Linked DNA regions of Mus musculus. Each later gene encodes a partner of the first gene's protein in a complex. Links are inferred from orthologs where the notes say so. Each region holds a gene or a part of one and is shown in the gene's direction. Other genes may lie near its edges.

The links.
Region 2: Ncoa6 (region 1) and Kdm6a share a complex: the UniProt entries of both Homo sapiens proteins name them as parts of the MLL2/3 complex. The link is inferred for Mus musculus from reciprocal best matches to the Homo sapiens genes NCOA6 and KDM6A.

Annotation. Positions count from the first base shown.
Region 1 is NC_000068.7:155,402,075-155,407,277, reverse strand, and holds part of Ncoa6 (nuclear receptor coactivator 6), read left to right. Parts: coding exon 1-1,803; intron 1,804-4,537; coding exon 4,538-4,606; intron 4,607-5,203. UniProt on the Homo sapiens protein: Nuclear receptor coactivator that directly binds nuclear receptors and stimulates the transcriptional activities in a hormone-dependent fashion. Coactivates expression in an agonist- and AF2-dependent manner.
Region 2 is NC_000086.7:18,159,942-18,165,944, forward strand, and holds the start of Kdm6a (lysine-specific demethylase 6A), read left to right. Parts: upstream 1-2,633; 5' UTR 2,634-3,064; coding exon 3,065-3,231; intron 3,232-3,442; coding exon 3,443-3,506; intron 3,507-6,003. UniProt on the Homo sapiens protein: Histone demethylase that specifically demethylates 'Lys-27' of histone H3, thereby playing a central role in histone code. Demethylates trimethylated and dimethylated but not monomethylated H3 'Lys-27'.

The DNA of each region.
Region 1 (5,203 bases):
CCATGTTGCAGAACATGGAGCTGCCTAGAAATGTGTTGGTTGGTCCCACTCCACTTGCCAATCCCCCTTTACCTGGAAGCTTTCCTAACAATACTGGGCTTAATCCTCAGAATCCCACGGTGCCTGTGCCTGCAATGGGGACTGTCCTTGAGGATAACAAGGAGAGTGTGAATATTCCTCAGGACAGTGACTGCCAGAATGCCCAGGGTAGGAAGGAGCAGGTAAACACTGAGCTGAAAGTAGTCCCTACCCAAGAAGCTAAAATGGCTGTCCCTGAAGATCAATCCAAAAAGGATGGGCAACCATTGGATCCTAACAAACTCCCCAGTGTTGAAGAGAACAAAAATTTGATGTCTCCTGCCATGAGAGAAGCACCAACATCATTAAGCCAACTTCTTGACAACTCTGGAGCTCCTAATGTGACCATTAAACCCCCTGGGCTTACAGATCTGGAAGTAACACCTCCAGTAGTTTCAGGAGAGGACCTTAGAAAAGCATCTGTCATTCCCACACTGCAGGATCCGCCTTCTAAAGAACCCTCTACTTCTTTAAGCTCACCTCACAGTAGTGAGCCGTGCTCAACACTTGCGCGTTCAGAATTGAGTGAGGTCAGCTCTAACACTGCACCAAGCATCCCTCCAGTAATGTCAAGACCCGTCAGCTCTTCCTCCATTTCTACTCCCTTACCTCCAAACCAAATAACTGTATTTGTTACTTCCAACCCCATCACCACTTCATCTAACACATCAGCAGCCCTGCCAACTCACTTGCAGTCTGCATTGATGTCAACAGTCGTCACAATGCCCAACGTGGGTAACAAAGTTATGGTTTCTGAAGGACAGTCAGCTGCTCAGTCTAATGCCCGGCCTCAGTTCATTACACCTGTCTTTATCAACTCATCTTCAATAATTCAGGTTATGAAAGGATCACAGCCAAGCACAATTCCTGCAACCCCATTGACAACCAACAGTGGCCTGATGCCTCCCTCTGTCGCAGTTGTTGGACCTTTACACATACCTCAGAACATAAAATTTTCTTCAGCTCCTGTAACACCTAATGTCCCCTCCAGTAGTCCTGCTCCAAATATACAGACAGGTCGGCCATTGGTCCTTAGCTCACGAGCCACTCCTGTTCAGCTGCCTTCCCCTCCTTGTACATCCTCTCCAGTTGTCGCTCCTAATCCTTCTGTCCAGCAAGTAAAAGAATTAAATCCAGATGAGGCTAGTCCTCAGACGAACACCTCAGCAGACCAGAGCACTCTGCCTCCTTCACAGCCAACCACAGTAGTTTCTCCCCTTTTGACCAATAGTCCAGGCTCCTCTGCCAATCGTCGAAGCCCAGTCTCATCCAGTAAGGGCAAAGGAAAAGTGGACAAAATTGGCCAGATTTTGCTGACCAAGGCTTGTAAGAAAGTTACAGGCTCTCTGGAGAAAGGGGAAGAACAATATGGTGCAGATGGAGAGACTGAAGGCCCAGGGCTAGAGATCACAACTCCTGGGCTAATGGGAACAGAGCAGTGCTCCACAGAGCTGGACAGTAAAACCCCAACACCCTCAGCACCCACTCTACTAAAAATGACCTCTAGCCCCATGGGCCCAAGCTCCACCTCAACAGGACCCATCTTACCTGGCGGTGCTCTTCCCACCAGTGTACGCTCAATAGTAACCACATTGGTACCCTCTGAGCTCATCTCCACAGCGCCAACCACAAAAGGCAATCATGGTGGCGTAACATCTGAGCCACTTGCAGGTGGCCTAGTGGAGGAGAAGGTGGGATCCCATCCAGAGCTTCTACCCAGCATAGGTATGTACTTGAGCTTGGCATCAGCTCCTCATGTCAGGTTTTTGCTGGCCTGTCCCACAAGAGAGAAAGCACAGCCCTTTTCTACTTAAAAGAAGAAAAATGGCAGTTGTAGATTTACTTACTGAAAGTACATTGAAAAATATGCTTTTAAATGCCATGTTCAGTTTATATTCATTAACATGGTTCTTTCCTGGCTTCTGAACTGATTCATGTTTCATTTTCATGTGTATATATGTTCCTCAGTTTTAAAAAGCATTTTCATACATACTATCTCACATCATCTTTATACCAACCATTGATATAGTCTTATTCCTTCCTGTGGGTGAAAAGATTGAAGCTCAGAAATGTCTAATATTTGTTGAGCCTATACTCTTTTATGTCTCTGGCCTGGCATCATCCCTTGAGTGTGAACAACAACTTCTTTATGCCCCTCCCATTGTACTTCTTGCCTTGTTCTCACTGTATGCTAACTCAGGGGCCTTTCTGTTTGGACTGCTCCAGAAAAGCTTACCAGAAAACCAGATTTCATGATAAGCAAAGGAAGATCTGAGTGGGGAAAAGTCAGATAGACTTGCAGTATTTGCCAGCTCAATGGGCTGGGACAAGTCTCACTTCCTCCTTTGTAATGTGGAGACAGTCATAGTCACAAGATTTCAGTGAGGTAATGAATGCTTAGCACATGCTTAGCACAGAACCTAAAATACGGTAATATGGTTTAAGTGTTATTGCCTGTTTCCTTTGGACATGGCCTCTTAGTAAACTGCATTAGTGGACATCTAGTTCAAGTTATTTCTTGTGCACTAGGTCAGTGGTTAGTACTGGAAACAGGTGTCTTTATACCTCCTTTCTCCTGTATGGCTCAAGTAGTGCAGAAGCTCCACATACCTAGAGATAAGTTAGTCATAGCTAGGGGCCTCTGCAGTATCTAAGCCAGCTAATAATACCTCTTTTATTTATGCAGCTAAAATACTTTGAGTGCCTACCAATTAGGAGGAGGAGCAGAAAGGATACCAGCTTCAGGTTATGATCAGAGTTCAAATTTTAGCTCCACTGGTTGCCAGTTACAGTCTGGTGAGTTCCTCGTACTTCACCTGTAAAGTGGAGATTATAATTTTACCACCCAGGATATGTAGGATTCAGTGAGAGAACTTGAATATCAAGTGCCAGCTTACTGCCCCAGACATAGCTCTAGAAAGGTTCCGTCCCTTCTTTCTCCCTCTTACCTAAAGAGATACAAGAAGGGGTGAAGACCTGCAAAGAGTTCAATGTCCCTACGAGAGAGAGACTTTGCTGGGGACGGCTCTGTGTTTCAAGGTTGAATTTTGTTGATGTAGGTGACTATAAGAATTAAAAAGAAAGCTGAGCATGGTGGTGCACACATGCAGCACGTGGGAGAGGAGGTAAGATGGAGAGCAGAGCCACTCTCGGCTACAGACTTGAGTTTGAGGCCAAGCTAAGCTACATGAGACCTTGTGTAAACCAGAAGGAACTGGTGTGGCTTAAGTATGTTCTCTGATGCTTGATATTTCCATTTCTGTTTCCTTCTAGGGAACTTTTTCCTTTAATACTAAGAGAATAATGATGAAATAATTAGAAAATATTTTTATTTGAATCACAATTGATAGTAGAGAAACATAAGTTTTAGGGAGATGAACCAGCAATTAAGCTACTAAGCAGAGAGAAATCTACAAAATTCAGTTTCCATCAAAGGGTAAAACTTACTGTTGTAGTTTATCAAGAATTTTAAGCTATAGTGTTAAGATGGAAGGCATACCCTTGATAGCCCTGGCATACTTAAGCCTTAAGTCTTTACTGTACAGTCCATAAAGTTGTGTTCCAGAGTGTCTCGTGTGTTCTAGTTCTAGGGTCTAAGTCTGTTCTGTCTTTCAAAGACTCATGCTGACATTTCTACCTGAAATATTCCTTTACATTTTCAGCCTAGAGTATTCTTTTCCTTTGGACTCCCATGGCACTTTATATTTTATGTGTCTCTTTCCATATGACATCATAGTGGAGTACACTGTATGTATCTGTCTTACCTTTCATAATAGGGTGAGCTGCCTATAGAAAGTTCTTATAGCTATTTGTTAGAAAAGTAAATAATACTATATTGATTTATTTATTAAGTATATATTTATTGTCTGTTTTATGCCCATCACTCTTGCTAGTTGCTATAGAAAAGTACAGAATTGTGTGTTTTGGTAATCAAGGAGTGTGTGTAGAATCTCTGCTGGGGTTACATAATTTTTTTTTAAATGTTGAGATGAGTGGTATAGCCATTCTAAAAGAAGCTAGCTTGCTTACTAAGATATAGTTTTCAGCTTTTTAAGAAAACAGCCATTAGGCCTAGTGTGGTGGCACATGCTTATAATCCCAGCACTGTGGAGACTGGGGTGGGAGGATCAAGAGTTTCAGACCAGGCTGAGGAAACTGAGATAGACCCTGTCTGAAAACCACACGGAAACAAAAGAGTCAGAACCTGAAATTGGTCCTACAGTTGTGGCTGCAGTTGTTCTTGTGGCCATCTCCTTCCTGGCTCTTTCTAGTGTAAAGGGAGGAGCAGATCCTTGCTGCTGAAGGTTAGAGGAGTTGTTTTGTTAAGTACACATTGAAGATCAGCTTCAAGCCTGCAAGCATGGCCTTCTAAGAATATGCTGGTTTTGTTTCTAGTTTAGTTAGGGATTTAAAAAAATAAAAAAAAGTAAAAGACCTATTTGTTTGTTTCTTGCCTTAGCCCCTTCACAGAATTTAGCCCCAAAGGAAACTCCAGCCACAGCACTGCAAGGGTCTGTTGCTAGACCAGGTAAGGCACTGTTTAGAATATCTTGGAGTGGGATGGGTTACATTGAAGGAGGCAGTGCTGTTCTCATGAGTAAGAGTCTCGAACTGTCTTACCTACTTGTTTTCCAAGCCAGCTTCAATTGTGTGGCAGAACCTGTGTAGTACTCTGGTTACTTTTCTCAACCAGCTTGTTCATTTTCATATTTGTAGAGTTAGCAGAGAACTCAAGAAAGGTATCTCTGTGCTCATTGTCTGCAACCCTACCCTGAGTTGTTTTCCTTGTTCCATAATCCTGCTAGCCACAGCTGGCTGCTAAGTAGTTCGCATATGCTTGCTTACTGGGTGACAAGCATGAATGTACCAACTGTAGTTGGATTATCATGGTGGATGTAGAAGCATAGTCCAGCCCTTCTGCTTACAGTGAATCATCCTAGCCATTTATGCATGACTGAATTTCTCCCCTTGACCAAGATATTGTAAATAGCCCTAGTAAACAGCAGTAGCGATGGTGTTTCCAGAAGGAGAACTCAAGTATAATAGCTGCTGTAAGATGCTGAGTCAGCTCTAAACACACAAGTACCTTGATGGTAGTAAGAGCACTTCTGCCTTTGCAAAACAG
Region 2 (6,003 bases), on another chromosome or scaffold:
GTGAAGGTCAGAAGACAACTTGCAGGAATCAGTTTTGGAATCTGGCAAATATTTTGAGGGACTAAGGTTGGTTGCCCCACCATAAAGTGGTAGAGATTAGATTTGTATGATGTAACACAAACCAGGCTCCTATTTTTATATCACTTTGCCTTCTACATTTTAATGCCCTTCTTTGTAGCCTAGCATGACCTTCAACCTAGCACTCTACCAACTGAGCTAAATCAGCCCAGGTTTTTTTTCATAGTTATTATTATTATTATTATTATTATTATTATTGACATACGGTTTCCCTGTGTAGCCCTGGCTGTCCTAGAACTCACTCTGTAGTCCAAGCTGGCCTTGAACTCATAGATCCACCTGCCTCTGCCTCCCAAGTGCTGGCATTAAAGGCATGTGCCACCACTGCCCTGCCATAGTAATAATTATTATAAAACAAAATTTTTCCATTTTTGTATGTCATAAATTTAAAATTGCATTAATTTTGACAGTGACTGAGAAAGGCTCCATGCTTATTTCACATACATTTGACAGCTAAACTATGTAAATGCCAAAAAAATTACATAGACATGTAAGACTTATTTTATATGGACACTGCATGTTTGATGGAGGATAAATCCTTGTAGTTGGCCTGGTTTGGCCAGGCATGATTGTACGTGTCTATTATCCCAGAACTGAGGAGTCTGAGGCAGGAGAACACAGAGGCCAGCCTGGGCTACAGAGCAATACCCTGTTTCATAAAACCTGTGCCCCAATAAACTAGAATTACTCCACATCAAAAACAACAGCTTTGGTTTAGAGGTCACAGAGCTTGCACAAGGATCAGAACCCAGCTGTGCTAGCTAGACTCCAACCCCTCCCTATCACTTTATTTCTAAAACTCTAACCTTATTATTAAAGGGCAGGAAGGCACTCAGACATGGGTTGCTTATATCATTCTTGGAAAGGGACTAAATCAGGAACCAGTAACTTTGGGGACGTGGCCAAATACTGACAGGTTTGATTTCTGTTTGTGCAAGTGTCCATGTGGTAGTGGGGCCAAAAATCTCCCAGGTTTTGAAGGTCACCATTTGTGACATTTAACAATTCGTATGTTAATTTAGCTATAGAAAATATTCAGTCTCTGGTACTCACTCAGTCAAGTAAAATAGAACACCATAGAACATGTTTTGTAAAAGTGTAATTAAACACGAAATATAATCCATACAAAACTAGTTTATTCATCTAGTTACTAGTCTCCAGGCAACAATTTAAAGCTCTGTCTGTCTGCAAAATTAGTTGGGACTTTTATAGTCTCTCATTGAAGAACACAGCTAGGATTTACTGACTCAGCACTTATATATTCTGAAATCTAAATTTAAATATACCCTATTGATTACAGGTGTAAACTTATATAAAACATATAAAGCTTGGTTTATAAACGGATCTTTTCTTCATATAGTCCATTTACTAATATTTTCTATCCCAAAGACTGGAGGTGTGATGAGATACATCACATTATATCTGCCTTTTCAAAATAGTCGATGGAAAGTTTGGTCTATCTCCTGATTATACTATGGGTCAAACACCAGACTTATTTGTACCTGAGGGACAGAACAAGCAAATGTTACTGCTAAGGGTTTCCTATGTAGTGGAAGCAGAAAAAGGCTGGCAGGAAGCTGTGTTGAGGATTCTATTTCTCTAAGGCCAGTTCACATACAGCTCCTACTCTTCCATGGAGTACCCACTGAGATGACAGCAACAGAACCCAACATTCTGAAATCCCCCTCGACAAATTTCACTGTTTCTGTTTTTTTCTTTATAGTATAACGAATTACTGCTAGGGCGTAGGGTATATGCAAGCAGCAGGAATATCTGGCCCGAAAGTGCTGCCAACAGACAGACCTTTGGCGGTGGGGTGCGGGAGCCAGCGCGCCAGACCCCCTGCAGGCGACTGACTCTTCATTCCTCCCTGCCTGGGGTGAGTGGGCGGGGGTCGGGAGACGTTTTCCCCTTCCCCTTTTGAAAGGGTATGGGGCTTCGCGTGGCCTTGTCTAGGGCGGCGCCCAGGCTGCAGGGTATGAAGCCGGCTGCTGCTCCTCTGGCGCACTCCTCGTGGAGGCTATTATTTCTAGCAGTGCGCCTTCTTCCGAGGGCAGAGGTCTGGGGCCGAGTGTTCCCTCCCCGCGACTCAGCTGGTGTCCAGCCCTGTCGGGATCGATATTCCCGGAGTGCGCGAGCGCTAGCAGGACCACCGAAATCACAGTCTTGGCCCACCCTAGGGCTTCCGGGCAGCCAGAGGCTGTCCTAGGCTTTCTCGTTGGCGCTCGCTACAGGCGGTGCCGGACCTCGCCCAGACTGAGCACTCCCCTCCCCCCCCCGATCCCACCACGGCTCCCGAAGGGACACAGCCTGGACCCCTCCATTCTCTGCCTGTGTATTTAAGTAGCACAACCTAACCGGCTGCTCCCACTGGGTGACAACCCTACTCCGGACAGACGTGCCTATCAGCCAACCACCGACCAGAACTGGCGAGCATCCCGCTCTCGGATCTGTGGCGGCCTCGGTGGGCGGGGCTAAAGCAGCTAGCAAGTTAAGTGGAGCCACGACTGACGCGAGTCAACAAAGGTCACGTGAGGCGAGGGGCTGCTCTGGTTGGCTGCGCCGAGCGGGCTGTGAGGGGGGGGTCACGGCAGCGGCGTGGGGTTCGCTGTGTGACACAATTACAACAACTTTGTGCTGGTGCCGGGGAAGTTTGTGTCTCCTACGAATCCCCCCCAGAGCTCCCGCTCCTCGCGCGCTCCGGCCATTCCCGCCGACCCTGCCTGTGGCTGCCCCCTTCCCATCCCCGCGATGTGACCCTACAGCCGAGCCGTCGCCGCTCCGGACCCAGTGGTTCCACAGCCTCTGCTGCCTCTGCCTTCACCTCTACCGCGTTAGGATTTTTCGCTGCCGCCTCTCGCGGCAGAGGAGGAGGCAGAAATAAAGTTGGTGTGCCGGTCTTGTGCGGAGATTGGAGGCGTCCTTGCGGGCTCCGGCCCGGAGAGGGGGGGTGTCGGCGTTGGAGTTGTGAATTCGCTGCGTTTCCATGAAATCCTGCGGAGTGTCGCTCGCTACCGCCGCCGCCGCCGCCGCCGCCGCCGCTTTCGGTGATGAGGAAAAGAAAATGGCGGCGGGAAAAGCGAGCGGCGAGAGCGAGGAGGCGTCCCCCAGCCTGACAGCGGAGGAGAGGGAGGCGCTCGGCGGACTGGACAGGTACGGGGAGCGGGCACTCGCCCGGGCGGCTCGGGACAGGCTGGCGCCACTCTCCGAGGAGGCCGGAGCGCGGCTAGCCTGTGGCGGCCGTGGGGCGGGCACCTCGGCTTGGCGCTCTCGGCTCCGCTGACGCCCGGGCCTCGGGCTTTGGCACGGACGGGTCGGCGCCGATGCCGGGGCACTAACGAGCGGCGTGTGTCTTTCTCCGCAGCCGCCTTTTCGGGTTCGTGAGGTTTCATGAAGATGGCGCCAGGATGAAGGCCCTGCTGGGCAAGGTAAGGCAAACCGCGGGCCGGAGCGCGGACGCGGTCTCTCGAGCCAGAGGCGCGCTCGCCTGGGGCACCGGGGCCGGGTCACCACTCATTGTGGCCTCGAAAGACGGCCGAGGGGCTTCCGGAAAACTATTTCCTGCTACTGCGCTCCCCTCCACCCCCTGATACCTCGCTTGCTCTCTTGAGAGATCACTTCTCTTGGAGCCAGAGGACAGAGGCAGTGGCGCTTTTGGGGCCAAGCTCATGTGGGGCTTCCAAATTGACTACGATTTTACCGCCCTTGGAGGCTAGGCGGATGATCTCTGAGGTGCCTAGGGAGGGTCATGAGTTCGTAAACAGCTGTAGATTTCCTTAAATCCCCCGCTCGTTATCTTCCCTGGTTATTAAGGCTCTTTAGGCAGTCTGTTCCTGATGCCTGCTTTAGTCAAACATTTCGGGATGGCTTCTTGTCTCTGCTCCCTGAAGGGGGAAGTTGCACGTAGTTTAGGTCCGTAAAGAGTTTGCATGGGGTTATTGACTTGTATCATCATCGGTGTGTGCTTTACCTGAAGTTAGGTGATTTGTTTACTTTTTGGATCTTTCTGCCAAAGATCTACCACAGTTGTATGAGTGCGTTTTCTGGAGCTTGGTTTCCTGTGAGTCTGTCAGGAGCAGTTGGGGAGGATTCTGGGTGTAGTCTCTTGTTTATTTGTGTGCAAAGTTGTTGGTACTGTCATTTAGTTAAGTAATGGCTGCTTCTGTCCGCCCAAGATGGCGGGACAGGGTGGGAGGAGAAAGTGAGCCGGGGGAGGTTTGGGGGAGGGAGGAGAGGTAAACAGGGAAATAAATAGTATCAGAGAAGAATAGGCCTCTCCTTTGGAGTATGTAGCTCAGTAGTTAATAAAAATGATCACAGATTATTTGCATGTAGAATTTTTGTCCCCTTCTCTAGCTTTGAAATAGCGTGCATACGCCTGGTAAATGCTTATCAACCTGTAGCACATTTAGTTACCCATGGTAAGCTATTGAACAAAGGCTGGAGTCTCAGTCTGTCTACTTCAGTTTATATTTCCTGACCAAAGTGTGATTGGAATGGTAGGAGGAGGTTTTTTTGTTAGCTGGGACTCTCAAACTTGGAGTGTCTATGGTAGATGTTGCATTCATTAGACCTTTTCTTCTTTGCCGGAAATCTTTAGGTTTGATTTGATACTTTGTTAGCTCTATTGTTGCAATTGGGAAGTTTAAGAAAGGCGACTAAAGCTTAACGGCTTTAAAAAAAGTTGATTATTTTGCTCCTTACTTTTTGAATGTATTTTGGTTTGGCTGCCTTAATTGTTTTTATCTGTGATCATAATTACGTTTTTATTTTAAAGTATCAAAATATAAGAACTTGTGATTGCAGACAATGACTATAAGGCAAAACAGTCATAATCTTTTTCGGTAGGTCCATTTTCTTTGAATGGTAAGGAAATTTGAATTGAACTTTGACAGTGACGGTATTAATTTTCTTTCATTAAAATTAGCGCTGGAAAAATGTTCAGTAACTAGCTCTGGAATTATATAAATATAAATAGTTGTTAGCCCCCTCTTTTCAAGATTTTCCTCAACCTATTTGAAGTATTTTATGTACAAAGATTAGATTAATGTAAAGTTGTCATTCCAAAGATGTGTGTGTGTGTGTGTGTGTGTGTACACACACCTGTATATAGTGTTTAAATTTAAGGGCCATTTTATTTTGGAGTAAACATTGCTAGTTTAAATTGAGTTAATAGAGTTGCTTTCAGCGATAATTCATTTGGAAATTTAGGCTAAATTTATTCCTTTTGGTTACAGTGATGAAGAAATAAGTGGAATGTGTTTTAAGTGCATGTGTAAAGTGCTAGTTCTTACTTTCATATCTTAGAATGCTTGTTATCAGAATCACACATGGTTGTCCTTAACGTGGGATATTATATCATAAATAGTAAAACCTACAGTTAATATGAACTGAGTTCACATTTTAAAAATTGAGCATTTTCAAAATTTTCTAAATGTGTGTTATTTTATTTTTCTGGTATTTGAATACAGTCACATGTTAAGCATGAAAAAATATGTGAAGCTTCATTTTGTTTGGGGGAAGAATTATGACTTTATAAATCTCAGGTGGTATATTGATTAAAAAAAAATCTTCATTGATTCTGGCTTCTTAGGGTCTAGCTACTTAGATCAGGGCTCAACAGCTTTAATGCTAAAACATTCCATATTATGTACTTTGTACACCTACGTGGATCTTGATTGTGTCCTTATTAGCATGAACATTTCAGTAAAATGTGTAATATAAATTTATGCTTGATAAAATAACACCTCACATTTTCTATTTGAATTGAATTCGGACTAGAATGAGTGTTAAATTATTAAGTTTTATCCATCCTCTAACTGTCCTGAGAATCAGTATGTTTGAATGTGAGGTTTGGGAAGTAGATTGTTATGTTGCTTTCAGAATTATTTCCTATGTAACTCTTTTTAATAAAAAGTATTGGCT